Linked DNA regions of Macaca mulatta. The protein of the gene in region 1 purifies or fractionates together with the protein of each later gene. This does not show direct contact. Links are inferred from orthologs where the notes say so. Each region holds a gene or a part of one and is shown in the gene's direction. Other genes may lie near its edges.

Evidence for each region. Proteins that work in one complex are often made in the same cells at the same time.
Region 2: the proteins of FBXW8 (region 1) and CCT2 purify together in Homo sapiens (co-immunoprecipitation; 3 studies listed by BioGRID and IntAct, with this or other methods). This does not show direct contact. The link is inferred for Macaca mulatta from reciprocal best matches to the Homo sapiens genes FBXW8 and CCT2.
Region 3: the proteins of FBXW8 (region 1) and CCDC8 purify together in Homo sapiens (affinity purification with mass spectrometry; 3 studies listed by BioGRID and IntAct, with this or other methods). This does not show direct contact. The link is inferred for Macaca mulatta from reciprocal best matches to the Homo sapiens genes FBXW8 and CCDC8.
Region 4: the proteins of FBXW8 (region 1) and SKP1 purify together in Homo sapiens (affinity purification with western blotting; 14 studies listed by BioGRID and IntAct, with this or other methods). This does not show direct contact. The link is inferred for Macaca mulatta from reciprocal best matches to the Homo sapiens genes FBXW8 and SKP1.

The regions. Positions count from the first base shown.
Region 1 is NC_133416.1:124,175,950-124,180,036, forward strand, and holds the start of FBXW8 (F-box/WD repeat-containing protein 8), read left to right. Parts: upstream 1-1,287; 5' UTR 1,288-1,360; coding exon 1,361-1,678; intron 1,679-3,988; exon of another isoform or gene 3,989-4,087. UniProt on the Homo sapiens protein: Substrate-recognition component of the Cul7-RING(FBXW8) ubiquitin ligase complex, which mediates the ubiquitination and subsequent proteasomal degradation of target proteins.
Region 2 is NC_133416.1:76,712,768-76,717,012, forward strand, and holds the start of CCT2 (T-complex protein 1 subunit beta), read left to right. Parts: upstream 1-1,445; 5' UTR 1,446-1,512; coding exon 1,513-1,515; intron 1,516-2,227; coding exon 2,228-2,302; intron 2,303-2,710; coding exon 2,711-2,776; intron 2,777-3,474; coding exon 3,475-3,586; intron 3,587-3,894; coding exon 3,895-3,971; intron 3,972-4,108; coding exon 4,109-4,221; intron 4,222-4,245. UniProt on the Homo sapiens protein: Component of the chaperonin-containing T-complex (TRiC), a molecular chaperone complex that assists the folding of actin, tubulin and other proteins upon ATP hydrolysis.
Region 3 is NC_133424.1:58,899,860-58,904,105, reverse strand, and holds the start of CCDC8 (coiled-coil domain-containing protein 8), read left to right. Parts: upstream 1-1,446; 5' UTR 1,447-1,582; coding exon 1,583-3,223; 3' UTR 3,224-3,407; exon of another isoform or gene 3,408-3,834; intron 3,835-4,246. UniProt on the Homo sapiens protein: Core component of the 3M complex, a complex required to regulate microtubule dynamics and genome integrity. It is unclear how the 3M complex regulates microtubules, it could act by controlling the level of a microtubule stabilizer.
Region 4 is NC_133411.1:143,076,123-143,080,189, reverse strand, and holds the start of SKP1 (S-phase kinase-associated protein 1), read left to right. Parts: upstream 1-1,267; 5' UTR 1,268-1,367; exon of another isoform or gene 1,368-1,536; intron 1,537-4,067. UniProt on the Homo sapiens protein: Essential component of the SCF (SKP1-CUL1-F-box protein) ubiquitin ligase complex, which mediates the ubiquitination of proteins involved in cell cycle progression, signal transduction and transcription.

The DNA.
Region 1 (4,087 bases):
TCTAGAAGGGAAGGGATATATATATATATATATATATACACACACACACACACACACATACACACACATAAAAATAAAATTACAAATTGTGTTATGGATTATGATGAGAAGTACAGGATGCTGTGAGAATGAATAACAGGGATACCTGATGTTTCTTGAGTGGAGGTTGGAAGATTAAGTGAAATGTGAGTTAAGATATGAAAGATGTGTAGGAGTTAACCAGGTCAAGGTGGGGGGGGAACTTCCGGCTGAGGGAATTCAGGTGCAAAGAAAACATTTTTAAGTGGAATGCCATCGTATGTCACTTTCTTTCCCATCTTAAAGCCCTTGGATTTCCTTCTGGAAATCTCTCTCCTAAGATCTGACCTTCCCTTGGCTGGTTTCTCTTTCGGATTTTATTTTATTTTATTTTTTATTTTTTTCATAGGTTTTTTTGGGAAGAGGTGGTATTTGGTTACATGAGTAAGTTCTTTAGTGGTGATTTGTGAGATTTTGGTGCACCCATCACCCAAGCAGTAGACACCGAACCCAAGTTATAGTCTTTTATCCCTCCCCACCTTCCCACTCTCCCTTCTCCCCCGTCTCCCGTTCCCAAAGTCCACTGTGTCATTCTTATGCCTTTGCATCCTCGTAGTTTAGCTCCCACTTATGAGTGAGAACATATGATGTTTAGTTTTCCATTCCTGAGTTACTTCGCTTAGAATAATAGTATCCAACCCCATCCAGGTTGCTACGAATGCCGTGAATTTATTCCTTTTTATGGCTGAGTAGTATTCCACCATATGTATATACCAGTTTCTTTATCCACCCATTGATTCTCTTTTACATTTTAATTCAAATAACATCTTAAAGAGACTTTCACTATCAATCCTTACTCCCCTTACCTTACCTTATTTTGTTTTCTTCCTAATACCTATCACTGATTCAAATGTTCATATTTCTTTGTTTAAAGTCTCCCTTCCCACTTAAACGCATGCTCCCAGACGTCAGGGTTTTTTGTTTTGTTTTGCAGATTTAAATGCTGAATTCTCGGTGCCTGGCATATAGTAGTCGCTCAATGCATGTTTGTTGAATGAAGGAACAATGCTCGGCGCAAAGTCAGAGCTTAGCAAAAGTGATAGGCAGGAGAGCTGACCGGCTGAAGAGCAGCTGCGTAGACCTCCGCCTGGGCACCACAAGCCAGACCACCACTTGCGCACAGGGGCAGCGCGGAGGGCGTGGCGGGGGCGTGGCCGCCCACCCGGAACCCTAGAGCTGCGGCAACAGCGGCTTCCGGCCGCGGCGGACACTTCCGTGGAAGGGACTGTCCCGTGGCACCCGGTGGAACCGAGGAGAACGTGGAGCGCCGGGAGCAGTGAATATGGACGACTGCAGCCTGGATGAGTTCCGTCGGCGCTGGCAGGAGGAGCTGGCGCAGGCCCAGGCGCCGAGGAAGCGGCGACGGCCCGAGGCTGCCGAGAGGTGGGCTCGGCGGCCGGAGGTGGTCCCCGGGCGCGGCGAACAGGCCTCGGGGGACCCGGCGCTGGCCCAGGGTCTCCTGGAGGGCGCGGGGAGGCCCCCGGCAGCGCGGGCGACTCGGACCGAGGGGCAGGACGTGGCGAGCCGCTCCCGTTCTCCTCTGGCCCGCGAGGGTGCCGGGGGCGGGGAGCAGCTGGTGGACCAGCTCATCCGCGACCTGGTGAGTGGCCGTCGCCTCCCCCACCCCGCCCCCCGATGCCTGCGCCGGCCCCCGCCCCCAGGACAAACCCCTGCAGTGATTTGGAGAGTAACTCTGTGCCATCAGTTGCCCGAGAAAATGAGTAGACGCACAAACACCGATGTTTGTGCGTGCATAGGGTCTTTCTGGAAGCAGCGCTTCTCAACCAGGGCGATTTTGTTCCCCCAGGTGTGTCAGTGTCTGCAGACATTTTTGGGTGCCTCATCGGGGTGTGTTTGTGTGCATGTTACTGAGCATCTAGTGGTTAGAGGCCAGAGATGCTCGTGAACATCCTACAATGAACAGGACAGCACGCACAAAAAATTATCCAGGCCAAAATGTCAGTAAGTGTGGGGTTGAGAAACCTGCTCTTGAAAGCTACCTAAACTTTGAACAAAGGTTGCCTTTGAAAAGGAGGACCCAGGTAATGGATAGGAAGGAATTTTGCCTTTTCTTTGTATACTGTTTGCACTATTTAATTTTTGCAACCGTGCAAAAAAATTAACTCAGAAAAGAGGAAGAGGAGGAAGAATCTCTTGGGCACTTTAATTAGGATAGAGTTTATCTTTTTGTGGGGCATGGATCCCTTGGAGAATATGGAGGAAGCTGGGGACCCTCTGTCCGTTAAAAATAACCACCTTCAAAAAGTTGGGAAAATCAAGAACAGCTGAAATGCATCCGTGGCTCACAGGTTAAGCGGACAAGGCACCAGGTTCTAATGGTTTGATTTAAATTAGGCCCAAAGGAAGTTTCTACAGCTTTCCAGTTGGGAACCCACTTTTTTTTTTTCTGTTTTTTTTTTTTTTTGAGACAGGGTCTTGCCCTGTTGCCCAGGCTACAGTGTAGTGTTGCACTCCTGGCCCACTGCAGCCTCAAATTGCCTGGCTCAAGCCATCCTCTTCCCTCAGCATCCCGCGTAGCTGGAAGTACACGCATGCACCACCACACTCAGCTAATTTTTAAAATTTTTTTGGTAGAGACAAGGTCTCCCTGTATTGCCCAGTCCGGTCTCAAACTCCTGAGCTCAAGTGATCCTCCCAATTGAGAATAATAATAATTTTTTTTTTTTTTTTTTTGAGACTGAGTCTTGCTCTGTCGCCCAGGCTGGAGTGCAGTGGCGCGATATCGGCTTACTGCAAGCTCCGTCTCCCAGGTTCACCCCATTCTCCTGCCTCAGCCTCCCCAGTAGCTGGGACTACAGGCGCCCGCCACCACTCCCGGCTAATTTCTTTTTGTATTTTTAGTAGAGACGGGGTTTCACTGTGTTAGCCAGGATGGTCTCGATCACTTGACCTCGTGATCCGCCTGCCTCGGCTTCCCAAAGTGCTGGGATTACAGGCATGAGCCACCGCGCCCGGCCGAGAATAATTCTTTTTTTTTTTTTTTTTTTTTTTTTTTGTTTTTGAGACAGAGTCTCGCTCTGCCGCCCAGGCTGGAGTGCAGTGGCGTGATCTTGGCTCACTGCAAGCTCCGCCTCCCGGGTTCACGCCATTCTCCTGCCTCAGCCTCCCGAGTAGCTGGGACTACAGGCGCCCGCCACCTCGCCCGGCTAGATTTTTTTTGTATTTTTTAGTAGAGACGGGGTTTCACCGTGTCAGCCAGGATGGTCTCGATCTCCTGACCTCGTGATCCGCCCGTCTCGGCCTCCCAAAGTGCTGGGGAGAATAATTCTTTAAGTGGCAAACTTTCAAGAAATAACGGCTTATTTCATGTAATGTGTAGTTTACTCAAATAGCATTAATAGCTCCTATTTGAGTTTTTACCAAGTGTTTAGTCCTGTGCTCTGCCCTAATTCGAATGTAACAATCCTGTGAGGTAGATTTTAACTCTTCTTTTACAAATGAAGAAACTCAGAGATTCTCTGTAACTTGCCCAGCGTTACCCCAGCTGATAGATTCTGGGGATTGAATTTGGATCCAGGTCTTTTCAATTCCAAGTTTCACCACGTGCACTTGAGTTTGCGTAAGAATCCCTTCAGGCTTTGTTATAATAAAGTTCTGGACCCTCCCCAGACCTGCTAATTCCCTCACCAGGGAAGGGGTCCTGAAATCGGATGACTGGCATGATCAGGCAAGTTTCAGACATTATACTCTACTGTATAGCCTCCTTTGCTTTAAGGTCCTGATTCTCAAGGCTTTCCATTTGTAACACCTTAGAGGTATAGGCATTGATGCCAAAAATAGTAAAGAAGTAAATCAAGTACAGTTGACCTTTGAACAACAGGGGGGTTAGGGAAACTGACCTCCTTGCAGTAAAAAATCTGCATGTAACTTTTGACTCTCCCAGAACTTAACTACTGTTGACCAGAAGCCTTAGAGGTAACAGTCAGATAACGCATATTTTGTATTTTATGTGTGTTACATACTGTAGCCTTACAATAAAGTAAGCTTG
Region 2 (4,245 bases), about 47 Mb from region 1:
GCTGGGTTTGACTCCTCCCAGCTTGCCAACCCCTGGTGGAAATCAACCCACTTAGAGGAAATCCAAAGGGTAGAAACAACTAAAAATTGAAAATTCCTGTTAATGTTAGCAATGTCAAAAATCCAGGAGACCCCAGCTATTCAGGAGACTGAGGCAGGAAGATTGCTTGAGCCCAGGAGTTCCAGGCCAGCCTGGGCAACATGTGAGACCCCGTCTCTAAAACAAAACAAAACAGAAAAAGAAAAATCCAAGAGCTTGGTTTTTGTTTGTTTGTTTTTGAGACAGAGTCTCACTCTGTTGCCCAGGCTGGAGTGCAGTGGCGTAATCTCGGCTCACCGCAACCTCTGCCTCCTGGGTTCAAGCAATTCTCCTGCCTCAGCCTCCTGAGTAGTTGGGATTATGGGCATGCGCACACCACGCCCGGCTAATTTTTGTATTTTCAGTAGAGACGGGGTTTCACCTTGTTGGCCAGGCTGGTCTCCAACTCCTGACCTCAGGTGATCTGCCCGCCTCAGCCTCCCGAAGTGCTGGGATTACAGGCGTGAGCCACCACGCCCTGCCAAGGAGCTTGTTAAGTGATCAAAGGGAGAAAACAGGGTATCAGTAGATGACAGAAAAATTTTTTAGAGAACAAATTTTGCTTTAGACATCCGTCAACTTAAAGAAAGTAGAAAACTGTTTGTAATAAACTGAAATATTTGGGACTGATCTTGATGTCTGCCAAAACATGTAAGAGTGTCAAGATCAGTCCCAAATATTTCAGTTTATTATAAACAAAGACTAGTAAGTCGTCTCTACTATTGGAGAAAAAAAAAGACTGAAATGCAAAAATTCCTGAAAATGAGTAAATAGGGCAAAGATAAAATACTATATAAATGTCTCTGTCAGTTCACAAGACCTTAGCCTGGACAGTCAACGTCCAGTTAGAAATAACGTTTGAAAATTCAGTAAGAGAAAAGGAAGTCCTCTTCTGTAATACTCAGTAAATAATGTTTAAAATTAACATATCTGGGAATATGATAGTAAATAGCTCCCCCAAAAAACTGAAAAAGTTGAAAGCAGTTTTCCTGGAGACAGGAAGTGGTGAGGTAGGTAAATTATGGTTTCATTATTGGCACATAACACTTTGAACTGTGTACATGTGTGATTTTAACACAAATGTTTAAAGATTAAATTTAAGAAAATAAAGTGTGAGCAAGAACTCCATTGCTATGGCAACTCGTGCGGCAGCCGCCTCTTTGTTCTTGGGTTGTTCCTCTCTCAACCGCCCAATTCCTCCGTCCTCGAGCGGCGGCTACGCCCCCTCCAGTGTGAAAGGCTGCGTTTCCGGCCCGTGGGGCTCCAATCAAAATGGGACGCCTGCTAGCGGTAACGGCCAGCCGGAGGGACGCGAAGGCCGGGGCCCCGCCCCCGACAGTAGGGTGTGTGACGTCACTTCCGGCTTCCTTCTGTCTGCTGTCCCTGAGCACGAGCTGTGAGGGGATTCACTTGTGTGCGGAATTCCTCGGAACTATGGTGAGCCTGACCTCCCTGTCTCTTGCCCTGCCCCTGCTTCCCCGTGCTCTTGGCACCCCACTGCTTCCTCTGTCCTGCTGGGGTTGTAGGCTCCGTTTCTGGCTTTCCGGCCCGCCGCACATGGTGCGAGCCGTGGGGCGTGCGGCCTGTGCCAGGCCAGCCGGTGGAGCCCACCACGAAGGGGAGGAGTGGACCGCAAAGCCAGCGTCTCCTGCCCAGGCCTTTGCATAGTCCCGGGAGCCTAGGCCCGCGCCTCACCCCAAGCGAAGAAATTTCTAGTGTGGGACCCGCCCCGCCCTCCCTCTAGGGGCGGAGCCTGGAGCGGCGGGGCCCGAGCCACCCGAGGGTGGAAGATGGAGGCCGCGTTCCCTCGCCCGCATGGCAGGCGTCCCCTCGATGGCAAAAAACCCCTCCCTGCCTCATTCTTAGTTCCACATCGTCTTTTGTCTAGCCGTAGGTAACTGTCAGTCTCGCTGGTGTATAGTTTATACTCCTGGGGCCTTGTAAATCCGAAAAGCCATGTCGCTCTCCTACAAGTCCCTCTCTCCCACTTAAATGCCTTCTCCGATGATGGAAGCTTCATTTGTTTGAAAACATTATTGTAAATGAGTTTTCTCTTAGATATCCACTTGTAAGACAAGTGGAAGGCACCTCAGTGTATGTGTTAGAGTATTGGTACTTAAACGAAATGCCTCTTGGTTTTCTTTTTTAGGCGTCCCTTTCCCTTGCACCTGTTAACATCTTCAAGGCAGGAGCTGATGAAGAGAGAGCAGAGACAGCTCGCCTGGTAAGCCTTGTTCTAACTTTTGTTTTAAAGATAAAACTGGAGGCCAGGTGCGGTGGCTCACTCCTGTAATCCCAGTACTTTGGGAGGCCGAGTTAGGCGGATGAACTGAGGTCAGGAGTTCGAGACCAGCCTGGCCAACATGGCGAAACCCCGTTTCTACTAAAAATACAAAAATTAGTCGGGCGTGGTGACGGGCGCCTGTAATCCCAGCTACTTGGGAGCCTCAGGTAGGAAGATCGCTTGAACCCAGGAGGCGGAGGTTGCGGTGGGCTGAGATCGCACCATTGCACTCCAGCCTGGGGGACAGAGCGAGACTCTGCCTCAAAAAAAAAAAAAAGTAAATAAAGATAAAACTGTACTTGAAGACGGTAAAGTTGATTCTGATAATCTCCTTGGTTTTTACTCCAGACTTCTTTTATTGGTGCCATCGCCATTGGAGACTTGGTAAAGAGCACCTTGGGACCCAAAGGCATGGTAAGAAAAATAGAAAAGTTTTATGTTTTAATATTGTTTTAGAGCCCTTAGTGGAAATATAATTAATAACAAACATTTTAAAATGCTTTTTAATCTTTAGAACGTTTAATTATAAAAGACAAGTATGTTCTTAGTAAAAATCAGAGTCCCCAGAATCACCATCCCCAATCCTATGCCCCTCCTCAGTGACAAGTAGTGTTATAATTTGCATGTACTACTTCTAATTTTCTGTTTATGTAGAATTATGTGTACTTTATTATGTATTTTATACTCATGTAATATATACTGTTTTATAAAACATAGATACTATTTATCAATACTGTTTTGTAGCTTGGTCTTTTAAATTCCTTTCAGTGTAAGTAGATAATACTGCCTCCTCTTTAACTGTCAAATATTATCCTGTACCTTAATTATTTTATAATTTAATTATGGCTGTACTGATAGTTTCTTTCCATTGTTTTTGCAGTTAACAGTGTTGAAACAAAAACTAGTGTCTCCCTGTGCTTCTGATGTTTCTAGGGGTAGATACCACGGTTTGGTTAACATGGTGTATGTATTGAAAACATTTGATGAATGGATACCACAAAATAGCCATCCAGGGTGTTGATAACACTAGCACTGTATGAGAATACTGATTGAACCATGCATTCTTCAAGATGTACTTATATCTTAACTTGAACCAATTATGTTCCCTTTAGGACAAAATTCTTCTAAGCAGCGGACGAGATGCCTCTCTTATGGTAACCAATGATGGTGCCACTATTCTGAAAAACATTGGTGTTGACAATCCAGCAGCTAAAGTTTTAGTTGGTAAGTCTGAATATACTTTTTCACCAACCTAATAATACTATTGGTTAACATTTTTGAAATAACTTTATAAATAGGCTGTGTTGACCAATTGTACTGTCAATTGATATCCACTGGGTTTTAATTATCATTGTTAAAATACAAGCTTCAGGAGTGCCATATATTGGTGGTAAACTGTTGCATTTCAGACCTCAAAGTTCCAAAGAATTTTTTGTATGAGGAACCTTGATAAGTTTAGATTGGTAGTGAATATTTTTGGAGAATTTAGTAAGCAAAGAAGCAATTTTGAGTTAACTAATTTCTTTTTCTAGATATGTCAAGGGTTCAAGATGATGAAGTTGGTGATGGCACTACCTCTGTTACCGTTTTAGCAGCAGAATTATTAAGGGTAAGAGCAACTGAGCAACTCTGTTTTTCCTACTGTTTTTGAGTATCAGAGGTAATCAAGTCCTTACTTCCTCCATCTTTACTGTTGAGTGCTTAATAATTTTCTATTTATAACTTTTATTTTATAACTATTAATAGGAAGCAGAATCTTTAATTGCAAAAAAGATTCATCCACAGACCATCATAGCGGGTTGGAGAGAAGCCACAAAGGCTGCAAGAGAGGCACTGTTGAGTTCTGCAGTCGATCATGGGTTGGTACACCAAAGTTCTACTAT
Region 3 (4,246 bases), on another chromosome or scaffold:
TTTGTTTTTTGGCTTTTTTTGTTTGTTTGTTTGTTTTGTTTTTGTTTTTTTGAGACAGAGTCTCCCTCTGTTGCCCAGGCTGGAGTGCAGTGGCGCCATCTCTGCAACCTCCACCTCCCGGGTTCATGCCATTCTCCTGCCTCAGCCTCCCGTGTAGCTGGGACTACACACGCACACCACCACACCCGGCTAATTTTTGTATTTTTTGTAGAGACGAGGGTTTCACCATGTTGGCCAGGCTGGTCTCGAACTCCTGGCCTCCAAGTGTTCCACCCGCCTAGGCCTCCCAAAGTGCTGGGATTACAGGCATGAGCCACCGCGCCTGGCTATGAACATTCAGGTTTATTCATCCACTCAAAAATATGTAGAGCCCTGACCTCCTGCCAAGCGTCACAGGGGGACTGTTGCAATAAGATCCCGGTACCCATTTCTCTACCCACGCGTCTGGGTGTACGGGTACGGATAGTCGCGTGAATTTAAAATGCTAATCTATGGTGCCAGTGGCTCTCAAAAGGTAGAATCCACTGGCACACCCACCTCCAGGACTTGGCTGGAAACTTGTACATTTCGGATGGCAGGTTTGGGAACCGCTGCCTTTCAGCAAAGGTGCTGACGTGGGCCACCGCCGCTTCGCTGGGAAGCAATGGGCCCAGCTAGGCCCCAGGCGCGGCCACACCCCTGTGGGGGAGGGGAAGGAGGCTGCCCCGAAGGGAGTGGACAGCCCCCCTGTCAGTCTTCCAGAGTCTGGGAGTGTAAGATGAGACGGGGGAAGGTGGGCCTCATTCTGGCGGAGGGCAAGGAGGAACTTCCTGCTGGTGCGCTCCACCGTGCAGAGCCCTAAGCGCGCGGGCTGGCAGGCTGCGGCGCGTCAAGGTCAGCCTGGAGCTGGGTGGTGGCCTGCCTGGGGGCGGGGGACCCTACTGGGGGGCCGGGCTGAGGCCTCTCAGCGCCTCCGCCATATTGAATAGCCTCGACTGGACCGTCTTTGTCTGCGAAGTCCTCTCCCAAGTTCCAACCGCGTCCCAGGGGCCTGGGGCAGGAAGAATCGCTGGCAGCCCGCGCGCCCCAACTTGGAGCTGGGACACCACGTTTCCAGCTTGGAGTGGGCCTTGAACCTTGGGACTGACCTCGCCTCCGGCTCACGTAGGCATCCTGGAAATTGATTCTCCCAAGTCCTTGGTGGAGGAGCCGGACTTGGTCAAGACTGGACTTGTTGCAGGAGAAGAGATTGGAGGCGTTGACTCGTCCCTGGCTGGGGAGGTGAGACTCTGCGGTCAGCGTTGCTGGGACTCCCCCCATCCAGTCCCTCCCTCAAGACTAAGGGCTACAGTAGTTTGTTGGGGCTCTTTGCTCCCTCACCCCAGATATCACCCTGGAGATCTTAAAGACTCTCGAGAAAAGCCACGTGGGGGGCTGGTTCCCCTGGGGCTTCCTCCCGTCCCCCGACTGCCTCATTCTTTGGAGCGTCCCCGATGTCTGCAAAGATGTGGATTTGGACGTCCTCGTGGAAGCCCTAAAACCCGTGGGAACATTTAAGAAGATCGGCAAGGTGTTCCGCAAGGAGGAGGACTCCACGGTGGGGATGCTGCAGATCGGGGAGGACGTCGACTATTTGCTCATCCCCCGGGAGGTCAGGCTGGCCGGGGGCGTCTGGAGAGTCATCTCTAAGCCTGCCACCAAGGAAGCAGAATTTCGGGAGCGGCTGACCCAGTTCCTGGAAGAACAGGGCCGCACCCTGGAGGACGTGGCCCGCATCATCGAGAAGAGCACCCCGCACCCGCCCCAGCCCCCCAAAAAGCCCAAGGAGCCCCGAGTGAGGAGGAGAGTGCAGCAGATGGTGACTCCTACGCCCCGGCTGGTCGTGGGCACGTATGACAGCAGCAACGCCAGCGACAGCGAGTTCAGCGACTTCGAGACCTCCAGAGACAAGAGCCGCCAGGGCCCGCGGCGGGGCAAGAAGGTGCGCAAAATGCCCGTCAGCTACCTGGGCAGCAAGTTCCTGGGAAGCGACGTGGAGAGCGAGGATGATGAGGAACTGGTGGAGGCATTTCTCCGGCGACAGGAGAAGCAGCCCCCCGCGCCGCCTGCCCGCCGCCGCGTCAACCTGCCAGTGCCCATGTTTGAGGACAACCTGGGGCCTCAGCTGTCCAAGGCGGACAGGTGGCGGGAGTATGTCAGCCAGGTGTCCTGGGGGAAGCTGAAGCGGAGGGTGAAGGGTTGGGCGCCGAGGGCGGGCCCCGGGGTGGGCGAGGCCCGGCTGGCCTCCATCCCAGTGGAGAGCGCAGGGGTATCCTCCGGCACCAGCCCGGGGGATCCCGGGGATCCTGTGGAAAATGTGGGAGATGTCTGTGCCCCGCAGGCCTCCCCTAGGCGATGGAGGCCCAAGATCAACTGGGCCTCGTTTAGGCGCCGCAGGAAGGAGCAGACAGCGCCCACAGGTCGGGGGGCAGACATCGAGGCTGATCAGGGGGAAGAGGCTGCAGATAATCAGAGGGAAGAGGCCATAGCTGACCAGGAGGAAGAGGCTGCAGGTAATCAGAGGGCAGGGGCCCCAGCTGACCAGGGGGCAGAGGATGCAGATAACCATAGGGAAGAGGCTGCAGATAATCAGAGGGAAGAGGCCATAGCTGACCAGAGGGAAGAGGCTGCAGGTAATCAGAGGGCAGGGGCCCCAGCTGACCAGGGGGCAGAGGCTGCAGATAACCATGGGGAAGAGGCTGCAGATAATCAGAGGGCAGAGGCCCCAGCTGACCATAGGCCACAGGGTGCAGATAACCTGAGGGAAGAGGCTCTAGCTGACCAGGGGTCAGAGGCTACAGATCCTCGAAGGGAAGAGGCCATACATGACCAGAGGGAAAGGGCCCCAGCTGTCCAGGGTGCAGGTAATCAGAGGGCACAGGCCCGGGCTGGCCAAAGGGCAGAGGCTGCACATAATCAGACGGCAGGGGCCCCAGGTATCCAGGAAGCTGAAGCCTCAGCTACCCAAGGGGCCACAGGAACAGCTTCAGGAGCCAGGGCCCGGAAACAGGTCAAGACAGTGAGGTTCCAGACCCCTGGACGCTTTTCGTGGTTTCGCAAGCCCCGGAGAGCCTTCTGGCACACTCCCCGGTTGCCAACCCTGCCCAAGAGAGTCCCCAGGGCAGGCGAGGCCAGGAGCCTCAGGGTGCTGAGGGCCGAGGCCAGAGCAGAAGCTGAACAGGGAGAGCGAGAAGACCAGCTGTGAGGTGAGGGCTAGAGACAGCCCACGGGCCCTCCCTACAAGCGTGGGAGAGAAAGTTGCTCTTTCTGCCTCTGAACTTGAAAGTGGAGTTGGAGTGCTGCCCACATCTCCACCTTACAACCCTCTTTATTCTCTTGTTAAAGTTTTGTCTCATGCGTTGATTTTTAAAAAATTTTTTAGAGACAGGGTCTCACTCTGTTGCCCAGGCTGGAGTGCAGTGGCATGATCACTGCAGCCTCAAACTTCTGGCCTCAAGTGATCCTCCTGCCTCGGCCTCCCAAAGTGCTGGGATGACAGGTGTGAGCCACCACACGTACCACCTGATAAAATATATATATATATATACATATATACATATATATAGTGATTCCTTGTAGCAACCCAAAAAATGTAAAGAAAGAATTCGATACAAGGGGGTTCTGTCACCTATAGTTTTAATTTCCTCAAATGCAACTCAAGGTGCTCAGCTTGATAAAAGGAGAGCGGGAGGGCAGGGGAGAAATTGCCTGCTTTTCCTGTCCCTTTTTTGCCTGCACACTTAACGTGGACTGCCTCCTTGGACTTAAAAAGAGGACTTGAGCCAACATGCAAATAAAAAAACATTTATGAACTGGTTTCTTAGCTTTGGACTTGGCAACTGACGAATGCTCTGGGGGTGACCCGGCCCTTCCTGTCCGTTCTACTCCCATCCTTGAAGATGGAGACACCTGTGTTTATGTTGTCACTTCGCTTGCCATCCTCATGCCCCTGGACTCTGCTGCTTTGGAGGGGACAGGGCCCTTGGTTTGCATACCTCTCCCGATCTTGGTTGTAAGGTACAGTAAAAGCATCTGAAAAATGCGTTCAAAACACAGATTCTGGGGCCCTCAGCATCAGAGATGTGGATTTGCTAGCGGTGCCTGTGTGGCTCTGAATTCTGTTTGCATCAAGCTTCCAAACATCTGGGCAATTCGGCCATTGGACACATTGAAAACTCATTGCAATAAGAAAAGGCCTAAAAGAGGGGCTGTGGTTGGCCGGACGTGG
Region 4 (4,067 bases), on another chromosome or scaffold:
CGTTTCATCTTCTGTCATCAGCTGTGGCACCTGGCAGACACTGGATACCACAGCTTGTAGACAAAGACCTGGTAACTCAAGAAGCTGCTTGGCATTCCTGCCCAGTCCCATCCCAGAGGCACTGTACGTCTCCGGTTTCTTCAGGGGGCCCTGTGTGGAAGTATCTTTTGTCTTCCTGTGTCAGGGATACCATCACGTGCCTATTGGCTAGACGAGCCCGGCGCCCAGTCTCCTAGGACAGGGAGAATAACGTTCCCGAGCAGAGCGGGGTGGGGCTTTCAGACTACTCCCGTTCCTTTACTGCAGGCTTCATTCCATCGACCTCATCACAGCCTTCCTGGGAGCACCCCAGACAAGAGTTCTGTCCAGGCCGGGCCCTGGCTGCCTGGTTCACTGCCGAATCCCCAGCACCACGCCTCGCATGTCGGGCTCAGAGCATGTTTAGTGAAGGAATGGGTACCTATTGCTAGATGGAAGCCATCTCTCTAGATTTGGGGTTTCCCTACGACGATGGCTATTTTTGGCACGGAAGCCTCTTTAGAAGTCAATAGTAGGAAATAAGGGCTAACGGCACCTAACTGTGGAGTAATGTTCAAATCCTGGCTCTGCCACTTAACCGTTCCGAACCTGTTCCCTCACTGCAGAGGCGAAAAGGCTAACACTATTTCACCTCGGAGGGTTACTGTGGAGAATGGAGGCTGGACAAGCTGTATCAGTTCAGTAGTAAAACACACACACACAAGCGCCCCCCCATCCCCACCCCAGGAATGAACACACACACACCCGCGCGCGCACACACATACACCTCAGGAATGAACACACGCGCGTACACACACACGCAGCCCCTCCCAGGAATGAACACACACACACACGCGCGCGCGCCCCGTTCTGTTGTTCCCAGGAACACACACATAGGCGCACACACGCCCCGTTTTGTTTTTTCCAGGCCGTTTAGCTGGGGTATTTTACTCGGCTTAGGGCGCCCCTGCCTGAAAGACCTTTCTAGGCCAGTCAGGGTTCGGCACCCAGTTGATGAGAGAGCGCGGCGCTTTCAGAGCTAGGGAAAGGCGAAAGCTCTCCCGTTCCCCAACCCCCCGGCCAGCCGCCCCGGCAGCTCCTCGTCGCCTCCCGGCCTGGGCCCGCCCCGCCGTCTTCGGCCTGCCGTCAGGCGATCTCGGCGGCCAGCCCAGCCGCTGTGTGACGCCGCGCGCCCCGGGGTCCTCGGCGCCTGCGCCCTCTCCTATAAAGCAGACGCCGCGCCGCGCCGAGAGGCTGTAGTGGCTTCGTCCTCCGCTTTTCTGTTCCTCCGCTGACGTCTCCTAGCTCTCGTCAGCCTCCCGCCGGCAGTCTCCTTAACACCGAACACCGTGAGTAGCCGCCCACTGAGCTGGAAAGGGTCGTGGCTCCCGGATTGCATGCAGGCTGGCCTCACTGCTGCGGTTTGGGCCTGCCCGCGGCGGGCGGTGACTGGGCCTGGCCTTCTTTCGGGCCCGGTGGATCGTGTTGTCGACCCCGTTCTTCGGGAGACACCATCAGGTCTCGTCCACCCTCTCCGCCCCCGATTCAGCGAGGCCTGCTCTGGCCGCGCGTCCTCACAGCGCTCCATAAGTGTGAGCCGAACCCCGGGCTGGGCTTTCTCTGCACCGGCCGAGCGTCAGCCGGCGCAGGCTCGGCTGCAAGGCCCAGGCTATGGCCGGGGGCCTCTCTTGGCCTTAAGCCTGCTGTCCCGGGGACTAGGGCGGGGGTGGCGGCGGGGTTGTGAATGGGGGTCCCTTGGCTGTCGTGAGCATGGGCGTGTGTCGGTGTCTGGCTTTTGTTGTGGTCGGGAGGGAGAGCTGCGGTGGTGGTCTGAGGCCGCCCGGTTCTTGGCTGCCATCCTTTCTCCCCCGTGTCTGGCGTCACTAGCTACCCGTCGGTCCTGGCTAACTGTGTGCGGGCGCCGAGTTTCTGCACATAGCCGCCTGTTCCTTGTAAATATTTCTTCGCGTTGTTTTGCTATGACTTGGAGTCGTTGAAATAACTATTGTGATAGCAGATACCATCTTCAGAGTGGTGTGACTTGTAAGAGCTGTGTATAACTTAACTCGAAGTGTCTGGCTTTTAAAGAAATAGGATGTCCAGCTGCTTTGGTTCACTTTTAGTGGGAACTTCACGTTTGGGTTTTAGGAACATGCATTTTTCCATTAGAGCGTCACAATAGAATGTATCTGTGTCATAGAACAATAGTCTCCTCCACTGTGCAGTCTAAAAAGCAGTGGCAGAATTTCGGGTCACTTAAAACGCAGGGGTTTTTTTCCCTTTATGATGTGATAGAACCCACTTTATGCTGGCCATGGAGAATTATTTACAAGTGCAGGAGCCTTTAGGCCTCTTTCTTTAGAATGGAATTGTTTTGAAAACATTTCAAATCAAAATTTCATCCATTATTACTTAAAAATTTTGCACTTTATTCTACTGTAACACTAAAACTTATCTTTTAGTTTAGTATTACCAAGTGCATCGAATTACAGATTTAACCGATTACCTACCTGCTATTTAGTAAGATCTCAACTCCCTTAAGAGTAACCCAATCCACGAATTTGACTATGACTAAGCACTTGAGTTATTTGAAAGAAATATGAAACGGTCGTCTTGCTTTTAGAGTAATTTTATCAACTGCATTGTTAGACTTGTGATTCTGCACTGTTCATTTCAGTACTATCTGATATAAAAATTACATGTTTAAATGTTTTATAATTAAAAATTGGACTCACGTTAAAATATTTTCTTTTGGAGATACCTTTTATTGTTGTCTTGTCACAGGAAGGGTCCTCTACTCTGGGTCCTTCTTCATTGAGCAGGGACAACGGCATTATTGGCAAGCGCTAAGCAACATGGAGAAGCAGACATGTTTGTGAATTGCAAAGTGAAATCTGATTCTCTCCAACCATGGATGAGTGAGAGTAGGATATTTCAGTGGCTGGTTTTAAAACACGCTTTACTTTTTTGCTTCCTTTGCCTAAGAACCTGTTTGCTTTGGGGTTGCGGACAATTGTCTCAGAGAAGCTGAATGAATATTTTAACCGATGTAATGGGTCATAAGTCTTTGAACATAAAATGGGTGTGATGCATGTTTTAAATGCCAAATGATACACTTTTGTGAAAATATATGCGATTTTTAATACAACACACCTAGAAAACTTCAGAGGTACCATAAGTTAATAGTGACATCATTGGATTATGAATACTTGAGAAGCATGGGCCTTTTAAAAGTTGTATGTGAATTTTAAGAGGCCTTGAATTAATCTGTACCAGGTATTGCTACTCTTTTTGTTGTTGTTTTTCTTTTATGTATGTTTTCTTTTTTAAAAAAAGAATTTGAAGATGGTAAGAAATTGTTGGACTTTTAATTTTAAATTCCTTTTTTTTTTTTTTTGCCAGAACTCAAGTCCTTTGGAATTAATTGCTTAACTTTTTTTTTTGACACGGAGTCTTGCTCTGCCACCCAGGCTGGAGTACAGCGGCGCGGTCTCGGCTCACTGTAAGCTCTGCTTCCTGGGTTCATGCCATTCTCCTGCCTCAGCCTCCCAAGTAGCTGGGACTACAGGCGCCCGCCACCACGCCCGGCTAATTTTTTGTATTTTTGGTAGAGACGGGGTTTCACCATGTTAGCCAGGATGGTCTCGATCTCCTGACCTCGTGATCCACCTGCCTCGGCCTCCCAAAGTGCTGGGATTATAGGCGTGAGCCACCACGCCTGGCCTAATTGCCTAACTTTTTATGTAAGATTATCTTTTTCCTAGTGACTCATAATTACTCTGAGTTAATAAATGCATTTTCAGAGCAAGTAATAGGTTATTATTATGGAGCTCTTGACAAGAGATCTCAAAGTTGGTCAGTTGGACAGTCAGTACTGAAAGATAAAAAGCGCTCTGAAATGAAGCTTCTTACTAGATTTAGGGAATTGTACTCACATCTGCTTATCTTTAAATCATTTTATTCTTGTGTATATGGTCTTGCATTGCCTCAGACATAAATCAGCATATTCTCATTTACTCTCTGGATCTGAACTTATCTTCACAGGTAGG